Callithrix jacchus: one gene and its partners. The protein of the gene in region 3 purifies or fractionates together with the protein of the main gene of each other region. This does not show direct contact. Links are inferred from orthologs where the notes say so. Each region holds a gene or a part of one and is shown on either strand. Other genes may lie near its edges.

The links. Proteins that work in one complex are often made in the same cells at the same time.
Region 1: the proteins of EFTUD2 (region 3) and TSSC4 purify together in Homo sapiens (affinity purification with mass spectrometry; 4 studies listed by BioGRID and IntAct, counting the BioPlex papers as one, with this or other methods). This does not show direct contact. The link is inferred for Callithrix jacchus from reciprocal best matches to the Homo sapiens genes EFTUD2 and TSSC4.
Region 2: the proteins of EFTUD2 (region 3) and PRPF31 purify together in Homo sapiens (affinity purification with mass spectrometry; 4 studies listed by BioGRID and IntAct, with this or other methods). This does not show direct contact. The link is inferred for Callithrix jacchus from reciprocal best matches to the Homo sapiens genes EFTUD2 and PRPF31.

Annotation. Positions count from the first base shown.
Region 1 is NC_133511.1:129,467,947-129,472,393, forward strand, and holds TSSC4 (U5 small nuclear ribonucleoprotein TSSC4), read right to left. Parts: upstream 2,810-4,447; 5' UTR 2,625-2,809; exon of another isoform or gene 1,619-2,624; 5' UTR 1,485-1,618; exon of another isoform or gene 1,334-1,484; 5' UTR 1,311-1,333; coding exon 297-1,310; 3' UTR 98-296; downstream 1-97. UniProt on the Homo sapiens protein: Protein associated with the U5 snRNP, during its maturation and its post-splicing recycling and which is required for spliceosomal tri-snRNP complex assembly in the nucleus.
Region 2 is NC_133523.1:47,301,098-47,304,744, reverse strand, and holds part of PRPF31 (U4/U6 small nuclear ribonucleoprotein Prp31), read right to left. Parts: intron 3,264-3,647; coding exon 3,166-3,263; intron 1,101-3,165; coding exon 994-1,100; intron 1-993. UniProt on the Homo sapiens protein: Involved in pre-mRNA splicing as component of the spliceosome. Required for the assembly of the U4/U5/U6 tri-snRNP complex, one of the building blocks of the spliceosome.
Region 3 is NC_133506.1:85,259,585-85,262,299, reverse strand, and holds the end of EFTUD2 (116 kDa U5 small nuclear ribonucleoprotein component), read left to right. Parts: intron 1-310; coding exon 311-464; intron 465-1,277; coding exon 1,278-1,385; intron 1,386-1,725; coding exon 1,726-1,821; 3' UTR 1,822-2,180; downstream 2,181-2,715. Other genes in the region: HIGD1B (HIG1 domain family member 1B), read right to left, coding at 2,697-2,715. UniProt on the Homo sapiens protein: Required for pre-mRNA splicing as component of the spliceosome, including pre-catalytic, catalytic and post-catalytic spliceosomal complexes. Component of the U5 snRNP and the U4/U6-U5 tri-snRNP complex, a building block of the spliceosome.

The DNA of each region.
Region 1 (4,447 bases), on a different chromosome or scaffold from region 3:
ACCCTCGAGTGGCCTGGCGGTGAGGCTGGAAGCAGCCAAGCGGGACCCCTCGTAGCCGACAGGGGTGAGCAGGGCCCAGATATACACGAAGCCTGAGGAAGTCCCAAAACCTTTATTGTCCCCACCAGGTAGCCAATGCTTCCAGCCCACCCCAGGAGCCTCAGCCAGGTCTGTTGGGAGGATGACACCCAGGGCCACCGGTGCCACCTACAGGCAGCATGCAGGCTCCCTCCCACTCTAGCTGCCCCTTGGCCAGACCTCCTGGGAAGGCAGCAGGACGGCAGTGGCCAGTGTGGTCAGGCGGCCCCGTCTCCCTCTGAGACCTCAGCGCCTGGGCCCTTGGAGCTGCTGCCCTTGTTCCGGAAGTGGTCTCGACTCCGCTTCCTGCTACTGTGGAAGCCAACCGTCTCCACCAGTGGGAGGCCTGGCATAGGCCCACCGTGGACAGGCCCTGTCGGTGCCTCCACCTCCTGCAGGCCCCCGTGGGGGCTGCCCCACTCCTCAGCCTCTGGGCTACCGGGCCTGGCCAGATGGGCCAGCTCCACTGGGCCCTCGCCCCTATCTGGGGCACGGATCCCAAGGCTGCCCCTGCCTGGCTCTCCCACTTTACCCAGAACCCTCTTCCTCTCGTGTCTGGCCTCAACCCCTCGGGCTGGTTTGGTGAAGACGACCCTCCCTTCCCCACAGCTGGAGGGGTCCTGGTTGAAGGAGGGCACGCAGTCAGTAGGGGCAGCCACGCTCTGGGAGCCCAGGAAGGCCAGGGCGGTGGCCTGATTGCTCTGCTCGCTGACCTCGGTCACATCTTCCAGGCTGTACTTGGTCCAGCGCTCGGGGTGTGCCACGTAGTCGGGGACTGGAGGCGCCTTGGGGGAGGCTGGGCTCCAATGGGCCCTGCCCAGCCCTTCCACTGGAGGCTGGCCTGAGGGTGCCAGGGGCCGCTTGAAGCCTCCATTGTCACTTCTGCTGCTGTGGGCCACAGGGGGTGGGGCCCGCCTGGCTGCCCCCTCCAGGAAGTCAAAGATGTCACGGCTGCGCTGGGAGAAGGTGGAGCTCATGCCTCTCAAATGGAACGGCTGCACCGCAGATGGGAGGAGGAGGCCTGAGGGGGGTGAGGGCGGCTCATCGGGGCCTGAATCCTCCTCCCCAGGCAGCCCCCCTGGGGACAGCGCTTCTACTTCAGCATCGCCAGGCAAGCTGAGGTCAGAGTCCGAGTCACTGAGGGAGACCGTGTCGGAAGGCAGCGTGTCATACTCCGTCTCATGCTCCCCCTCCACGCTGGGGGACGGCTCCTCTGTCCCTGCCTCAGCCATGCGTTCCCAGGACCACGTCACACCTAGACCAAAACAGCCCAGGAGATTCGTTTCAGGAACAGTGTTAAGAATGAGTCTCCTGCAGATCAACCGCCCCTGGACAAGGAGGGTCAGCCGGCAGACCTGTCCCACACAGGGTGGAGGCCCCTCTCCCCCTCCCAGCCCTCCTCTCACCTCCCTTGGCTGCTGACACTGGAGTGTGGCTGCACAGCCAGGTGGGCGGAACCTTGATGAAGGTCCTCAGTGGCACAGGTATGGTTGTCTCAGGCCTCGGAGTGCCCCTGGCATGCGTCTGTTCAGCTGCTCGACTGCAGGTGGGAGGGGTGGGGGAGAGGACCATCCTCAGACCGGAGCGCAAATGTGTGAAAGAGGTGGGAGGCAGGACCGACCTGAGCCCGGGTTTTGGAGTCCCTGACAGGCCAGAACCCAGGGTAGGGACTTCTGAGTCGTGACTTAATTTAATCGCGTCAACCCTCTGCAGGCAGGCTTGGAACTACGAAGCGATTCTGGTAGTAAGCAGCCGCCCAGGGCTGGAACCCAGGGCCGAGATCAGGCAGGAGAGCTACTTATAAGCTGCTTGCTGTTGGGGGGTGAGCAAGAGCAGGCACCTTCCTGGTCATCGGGGAAAAGGTTTGCTCCTATCTGCTGGGAGAGCCCCGGGAGCTCCCAAGACATCTGCAGCCAAGGCCCTGGCATCGCACAAAGTGGGGTGTCAGCCCATCAATCACCTCGAGCAGCCCTCACAGGCAGAGGCAAAGCCGCGTAGCTCCTGGAGCGACCTCTAGTGGCCTTCCCCGTGTAACACTCAACACACACACCGCCTTTCCAGCGGGGCAGCCAAGCGGCCTCCCGCACCCATTTAGTGGTGGAGTGACTGGGTGCCTCGGAGCTGGCATTGCCAGTGGAGAGGACGGCCCGGCCTCACCCTTCTGCACTGCCCTCATCCATCCACTGACTCCTTGCCCGCCAGGGTGACATGTGTCCCGTGCTCCCAACAAGGATGGGGTCAGGGGTACCAGAAGGGGCTCCTAGTGCCCCCCACCAGGTCAAACAGAGGCAGCACTTCAATTCCTCTGCGGCGTGACTCTCCTCCGTGAAGAAGCCACCCCGTAAATGAAAGGGGCTACCCGGAACCCCCCACTGATGTCCGTTTTAGAGCCGGCAGGGACGGAGGCTGAAGGAAACCGTCCCTTTGCCCACATGAAGGCAGGGCCTGGCCTTTCTCCTCTCTATGCGCCAGCAAGACCTCCCCGCCAGGGAACAAACTCTCTGTGCCAAGTCGGCTCTCGGTGCGAAGTCGGGCTGGACACTCACGAGGATGCTGTGGGTCCCAAGGGCTCGGCCGCGGGGTACGGGGGTCGGTGAGCACAGCGGGGCTTCAGCTGCGCTCGGTGACCTCCCGGAGGCTCACCCGGCTCACGCGGCCCGTCGTTCCTCAACACAAACCTACCAGCTCAAGGCGGCACGGCCGTCTCCATCTTGGTCGGCTCCGCCCGCCCATGCAACGCGCTCAGCCCTCTGGGAAACCGAGTGTTCATCCGGCCGAGCGCCGCGGCTTCCACGCCCGCAAAACTACACCTCCCACAAGGCACTGGGCCGCCGCTCCCGACGCCTGTCGGGACGTGTAGTCTTGTGCGCATGCGTCCGCCTCTCTACTCCAGGACACCGCGGCCCTGGCGTCCGGCTCGGAAACAGCCCCGGAACCGCGGCATTTGTTGGCGAAACAAGACCGGAACTGACCAAGGAGAACAGGAAAAGGAGGGGCCACGCCTGCAATTCCCAGAATGCTCGAGGGCTAACCGACCGCCGCGCCGGCTTTCCGTGGTCCCAGCGCCACCTGCTGGAAACCGTGAGAACAGCGGCCGCCTCAGGCAGGAAGTGCGTCATTTCATAGGGAGGGCGAATGCCGTTCGGACACTTCCGGTCATGACCGGAAGCGGCAGCTGTAGCTCTTCCGGGGCTTCGGAGCACTGAGGCGGGGCTCCCCAGGATCCCACGGTCCCGCTCAGGGCGGACGCAAAGGCGGTCCCAGCCCGAGATGAGGACGCGGAGTCTTGACCTGTGGGCCACGGGTGAAGGGGGCGGCCCTGCTGGATCCTCTGGCTGGGCCGACGCTTTCCCACCCCTAGGGGTTGGCTGGGCCCTGGAGGCAAACTTGTGGGGCGTCGCCCTTGGGGACGCTGCCGGGCCGCCCGCGCAGCCCTGGGCCCTCAGCTCTGGCACATTGGTCCGGCCTCCGAGGGCGCTGCAGGGAAGCCAGGGCCAGGCCCTTCCAGGTCCCCGGTCCCCCGTCCTCCCGGGCGGGGTGGAGGCCGCTGAACGCTCCTCAAGCGTGGCTGGGTGGGCGGCAGCCGGAGCGGTGTGGCCTCCGCCATGCCTGGGAGCCGGCAGCCTGGCCTCGCCTGTCCACGGTGCCCGCCCTGAAAGGGAGAGCGAGGGCCCAGGTTCTCCCCCCGACAAGCCGCGTGTCCCTGGGCCACGGGCCCTGGTTGGTTGGCGCCCTGTGCCCCGCACACTGCGGGGAGCTGAGTTCCCCTCGGCGGCTACACCGCTGGGCCGTGTCAAGGCTGGAGACAACTCCCTTCCCAGGGCCTGCTGTCCTGGCATCCGCCGGGAAACAGGACTCAAGGACCTGCTGCGGCCTTTGGGATGTCATTCCCCGCCCACGGAGGACACAGCGGGAAGTGGAGAGGGGGCTCCTTGCACCGTCCTGTGCTCCCAAGCAGTGCAGCCTTGGAATTTGGGAGCAGCAGGAGAGGGCCTGCTGAGAGACTCCGTAACCCCCCAAAATGCAGGGCCGGGGGCAGTTTCCAAATTGGCTTGCAGAGAGGCTGCTGGGAGCCCTAGACATAAATTCCCAGTCACTCCTTTCCTCCAGGGGTCAATGTGCCAGCAGCTTCATCTCCCCAACTAGGGAAAAGCAGCCGGAGCGACAGCAAGCACCACCCCAGGGTCCACGGTGTGAGGGAAGATAGGAGAGCCTAGACCAAGCCCATTGGCTTGGAGGAGCTCGGACAGGGAAGGGGTGCGGGGCAGTGCAGGGGATGCTTGGCCCCAGAGCCTGTCCACCCACCCACTGCTCACTGGTGGGCTGGGTGGGCTCCCGAGGAGGCCGAGGTCTTTCTTCCCCTCCAGCA
Region 2 (3,647 bases), on a different chromosome or scaffold from region 3:
GTCCCGCCCTCTCAGTTGTGTGTGTGTGCGTGCACATCTGTGTGTGTAGCTTCAGCCTAATCCCCAGTCCCACCCTCTCAGTTGTGTGTGTGTGTGCGTGCACATCTGTGTGTGTAGCTTCAGCCTAATCCCCAGTCCCGCCCTCTCAGTTATGTGTGTGTGTGTGTGCACATCTGTGTGTGTAGCTTCAGCCTAATCCCCAGTCCCACCCTCTCAGTTGTGTGTGTGTGTGTGTGCACATCTGCATGTGTAGCTTCAGCCTAATCCCCAGTCCCACCCTCTCAGTTGTGTGTGTGTGTGTACACATCTGCATGTGTAGCTTCAGCCTAATCCCCAGTCCCGCCCTCTCAGTTGTGTGTGTGTGTGTACACATCTGCGTGTGTAGCTTCAGCCTAATCCCCAGTCCCGCCCTCTCAGTTCTGTGTGTGTGTGTGTGTGCACATCTGCGTGTGTAGCTTCAGCCTAATCCCCAGTCCCGCCCTCTCAGTTATGTGTGTGTGTGTGTGCACATCTGCATGTGTAGCTTCAGCCTAATCCCCAGTCCCGCCCTCAGTTGTGTGTGTGTGTGTGTGCACATCTGCATGTGTAGCTTCAGCCTAATCCCCAGTCCCGCCCTCTCAGTTGTGTGTGTGTGTGCGTGCACATCTGTGTGTGTAGCTTCAGCCTAATCCCCAGTCCCGCCCTCTCAGTTATGTGTGTGTGTGTGTGCACATCTGCATGTGTAGCTTCAGCCTAATCCCCAGTCCCGCCCTCAGTTGTGTGTGTGTGTGTGTGCACATCTGCATGTGTAGCTTCAGCCTAATCCCCAGTCCCGCCCTCTCAGTTGTGTGTGTGTGTGCGTGCACATCTGCATGTGTAGCTTCAGCCTAATCCCCAGTCCCGCCCTCTCAGTTCTGTGTGTGTTTGTGCCTGTATGCACATCTGCGTGTGTAGCTTCGGCCTAATCCGCAGTCCCCCTAGCCCGGGCCCAGTCCTCCCTCGCAGCGGACATACCCCTGAGTGGTGGAGGCAGTGACACTGACGACCATGATGGTGGCATTGGTGAGGATCTGCTGCAGGTTCTCATTGTTCTTGCACTTGTCCAGGCTGTTGCCCAGCTCCTGGGGGCGAGCAGAGAGACAGGGAGGCTTGGGCTCAGGAGGGCTGGAGAACCTCTTGCTCAGCACCTATTCAGGTCTTGTCTTGGGGACACTGGGAAAGTCAGGGTGTCTACACTGAGGGTCACTGCACTGGGGGCCTCTCCTGCCTCTGCCACCCGAAGCATCCACACTCTCTGCTCTGCTTTGGCTGACCTGGAAATGGAGCCTGGGCACAGTGGCGTCTGGGAGACCGAGGCCTCACAAGCCTCTGGCCCATGACAAGTGGGAGCACTGATCCGGTGGCCTCACTTCCCTGCAGGGGCTTTCCCCACCACTGTCCAGTGGGTAACCCCCAACATGGGTACCAAGGAAGGAGAGCTGTGCAAACCCCAGGCACAATTAGTGCCTGAACAATGTCTTAGTTTATAGTGTTATTATTCAGCTATTTCCTTTATATAATCCTTTATACGTAATCGTGTATGAGTTTACAGTCAGAACAATTAGTGCCTGAAGTATAACTTACTGCTTACCTATATCTAGCATATAAAATCATACTTACTACTTATGTCTAGCATACTTAGTTCCTTATGATCTTTTTATGTAGTCATGTAAATATTATAGTCTATATAGCCATATATATATATATATTCTCTATAATCACGTAGATATTGTAGTCGGAGCTGTACCAACACATTTAGTGATGGTTTATATAATATTTCTATATAACCATATAGTAGTTTGTAGTAGGAGGAATGCCTAGAGCAGTCACAGAACAGAAGCAGTACATGGGAAAACAGCCAGACGAGGACACGAACCAAAGACCCAGTGGTGGCGTCCCTGCCTGAAAGGGCGTATGCTGTGTGGCAGGCTTGGAGCAAGAGCCTCTCCTCCTGAAAAAGGAGTGGTAGTACCTTGCATCCAGTTCCTGTGGAAAGTAGGCCTCAGGCCTGAGATCCCACAAATAACCGAGGGAGAAGAACCCCTCGGGTGTGACTGGGTCACGGCAGCTGTACACCCTGTCAGCCTGTCAGCTCAAATCATCCTCCCACAAAATATCTTCAAGAAGAGCAGAAGTCTGTCAGCTCCCACTGCATTGGCTTACAGTATCCTTCTATTAGAAATCCTCTGAAGTCTCCAGCCCCCAGATAAGAAGTGTTGCATCTGACACCTGTTGCACACAGTCCACCTCCTTGCCTCGGTGACCTAATGGGAGTGGACCCCTTTTCTGTACATGACCCTCTACTACTGCGCGCGGCCCACCTCTCTGACTAGGTGGCCTTATGGGGTGGCCCCCTCGCTTGATTATGTATGCCTTATCATTAAACCTATAGTGACCTCACTCACGACCCTTCTCCCTGCCCTGTACCTAATACAGACGCTTCTGGGCGTTCGGGGCCTCACCTGTCTCCGCTCATAAGTGGCGTGGCCCCTGAGCCCAGCTGTCTTTTCCAGTCTTTCTGTGTCCTGTCTCTACTTCTCGGATCCTCCACACAGCTGTAGGGGACGCCCCACGACTCCTTAGGGCTGTGGCTTTACACCATCCTAATCTTTCCCTGGACATGTGTGGGGACCTCCTCCTCTCCCTGCCTCACGTGCACCTGCCCCTCTTTCCCTAAACCCTTCCTTGGATCTCTCCTAAGACCCAGAGGCCCAACGCGATCCGACCTCTTCCACTTCCCTCCTTCCCCACCTCACTCCCTCCCAGCTTGTTCCCTCTCAGGCTCTCTGCACTTAAACGTCTCTCTCCCCCAAATCTCCGCGTGCCTGTCCCATGTCAACCTTCGGATCTCAACTCCAATGCTGCCGGCTCTAACCACAGTGGGAGCAGCACGGGTCAGGCCAGAGGGGAAGCCCTCTTGGGAGACCGGGGCAGGAGGGGAGCCCTGAGGAAGTCCCGTCCAGCTTCTGTCCCTCCCACGCTGGGCAGAGCAGGCCGCTGAGCCACCGTCCACTCCTTCCATGATCTCCAGACCCCGAGGCCTCTGGGAGCAGGTTCAAGAGTGAGCCCCACCTGCCCCTTCACACCGGCAGAAGTCGGGCAAGAAGCCACAGTTCTTCCCAAGCACCCCGCCTTCTTGGTGCTCACCTTGACCGTGCGGATGTAATCCAGTGCATTGGGGACCAAGGACTCCAGTTCAGGGAATCTCTTCGAGTACTTATCCCGGATGAACTTATGGATGATGTCTAGGGTGGACAGGACAGGCGGTCTTGGGTAAGACAGGAGGTAGAGTCTGCTGGTTGCCCTAACACCCATTTCCCCTTCTTCCTTTACGTATGACCACGGGAATTTGTTCTGCTCTGTAAGATGTGAGCTGAGCTGTGGTGACACGTTCTTAAGAATAAGAAGCGCCTTGCTGGTGGAAATGCAGAGGTGATGGCTGGAGGTGGGACAGCCACCTTGCACCGTGAACCAGTGGCTGAACAACAAGATGGAAAGAGCTGGGGCCACACCACCCCCAAGTGCTCGCTCAGACTCACACATAAGAGGAGAACAAACTTCCTTCTTCTTCAAACCACTGTTACAGCAGGTGGACCTGGATTTGAGCATGGGCTCAGGGGCAGGACCCT
Region 3 (2,715 bases):
AGAAGAATCGCTTGAACCCAGGAGGCAGAGGTTGTGGTGAGCCAAGATCATGCCATTGCACTCCAGCCTGGACAACAAGAGCAAAACTGCTTCTCCAAAATAAAAATAAAAAAAAAAAACAACAACTCAAGACCACAGGAAATTACACTGAGAGCCCCGAGCTTTTTCTGCTCTGTATAACATTCTTGGTTACTCTTTCTTTGATGGTAACTCTGGGCTGGGATGCATTTGGGAACAGCCAATGGCAGATTGCTTCTTGTCTTTTGGCCTTTGTATAACTAGAGACTCGGCCTTTATTTTTTTGTCGCAGGGGGCACGTGACTCAGGATGCACCCATTCCAGGCTCCCCTCTGTACACCATCAAAGCCTTTATCCCAGCCATCGACTCTTTTGGCTTTGAAACTGATCTCCGGACTCACACCCAGGGACAAGCCTTTTCTCTGTCTGTCTTCCACCATTGGCAGGTGAGAAAACATCGCAGGCTGGCTGGCTGCGTTGGCCTCACACCTCTGCAAGCCTCATCCCCTTCTGTCCTGATCCCCCTCCAAGCCCTAAGTGAGATGTACAGCATCCTAGAGAAGAGTCCTCTTCTGGGGAGCATATATTCAGGGCAACTTGAATCTGTGTCTCTCAGTTTAAAAAAAAAAAAAAAAATAGAGGACCAGCACAGTGGTTCACACCTGTAATCCCAGTACTTTGGGAAGCCAAGGCGGGCAGATCACGAGGTCAGGTGTTCAAGACTAGCCTGGCTACCATGGTAAAACCCTGTCTCTACTAAAAATACAAAAAAAATTTAGCTGGGCACAGTGGTGGGTACCTGTAATCCCAGCTACTCAGGAGGCTGAGGCAGGAGAATCACTTGAACCCAGGAGGCAGAGGTTGCAGTGAGCCAAGATCGCACCACTGCACTCTAGCCTGGGCGACAGAGCAAGAGTCCGTCTCAAAAAATAATAATAATAATAAATTTAAAAATAAAATAGGGACTAACACAGAGAAACCCTGTCTCTACTAAAAATACAAAATTAGCCGGGCATGGTGGTGCATGCCTGTAATCCCAGCTACTCAGGAGGCTGAGGCAGGAGAATTGCCTGAACCCAGGAGGCAGAGGTTGCAGTGAGCCGAGATCATGCCATTGCACTCCAGCCTGGGCAACAAGAGCGAAACTCAGTCTCAAAAAAAATTTTTTTTTTTTCTGTAAAATAAATAAGAATCCTGCTTCTGGGCCCAAATCTTCTGGGGAGTCTGCCTGGGCCATCTGAAATTCCTTTGTCTTTTAGATTGTCCCTGGTGATCCTCTGGACAAGAGCATTGTCATTCGCCCTTTGGAGCCACAGCCGGCTCCTCACCTGGCCCGGGAATTCATGATCAAAACTCGTCGTAGGAAGGTATGTCTTCCTTGGGCCTGTTACCATCCCTCAACCCCCCAGAACTCTCAGAAGTAGGATCTCTATGTCTGTCTTTTGGCCCCTTTTCCTAAAGGACCCTTTTCCAATGTAAACATGTGATCTGTATACTCTTGAGGCAACTAGACCTGGGCCCTAGTCTTGCTGTGGAAGGAGAGCTTTATCCTCCTATATGATAGTACCCTGAAAGCAGGGCTGCTGAAACAACACCACCTACATTCCTGCTACCACTAGCCTCACTGAGCGCAGGTCTTGGGTGGCCTCCCCACTCAGTCTGCCACCACCTCGGGCTTTCTTGTATTTTTCTTGTATTTTTCTGCAGGGCCTCAGTGAAGATGTGAGCATAAGCAAATTCTTCGATGATCCTATGTTGCTGGAACTCGCCAAACAGGATGTTGTGCTCAATTACCCCATGTGAGTGCACGGACTCCTGGCAGCTCCTGCTCCCTACAGTGAGTTGCAACTCCTGCACTTGAAGCTGAGACCTGGTATGACATGGCCTTCGTGTTGTTAGAGTGTCTGGAAGCTGCTGTTGGTGTCTTGAACAACTCACCAACCTCTAACCCAGAGCGCCAGTGAGAGAGGAGCATTTGGCCTCCTGCTTCCTTCTGTGCCCTCTGCCAGGCTCCATTTCCAAGGAAAGAGAGGAGTTTGCTTGGACTCACAGAAAGAGAAGCGGGGATGGAACCCCCCCATCTTTGGTATTTACATGGAATTTTATTTTCTACAAGTTTGACCTTCGCCATGGTTTGCAAGTGAACAGAACATTTTGACCTCTGTCTTGCTCTGTTCCTTTCATCCCCGTCTCCCCTGCCCCATCTGGTCCTGGTGCTTACATTCTGAATATATGTCATCTCCCAAGAGGCTTCACTGCCTCTGCTTCCAGCTGCAGCCTCCTTCCTGCCTGAGTCCCCAGGGAAGCAGCCTGCCTTTTAATTCAGTGTTCTCATGAGTATCAAGGCCCTGTTTTTGCCCCCTTGCTCCCACTCCATGCTGCTTCAGGGTGGGACCTAAGATGGCTTGGGAGTTGTTGGTTCCTGGGATCAGAGGTCTACCCCAGCACCTCAGGAAATTGCTGTCCCGCCCCCCAAGAATCTCCCTTGCCCTAGGGTATGGGGCCAGAGCACTGATTTCCAGCCATTTGCTCTAAGTCCTCTCCCCAGCCACCACCAGTCCCTTACTCTGTTCTCCCCAGTGAAAAAGAGTCTGTTGATTTTCCTCAAAACTGCTTTATTAGAAACATACCAGGGATTGATTTAGGGAAGTCGGACTGCCTTGGCTCCTATAGGAGTCCTACTTCTCTCCAACGTCC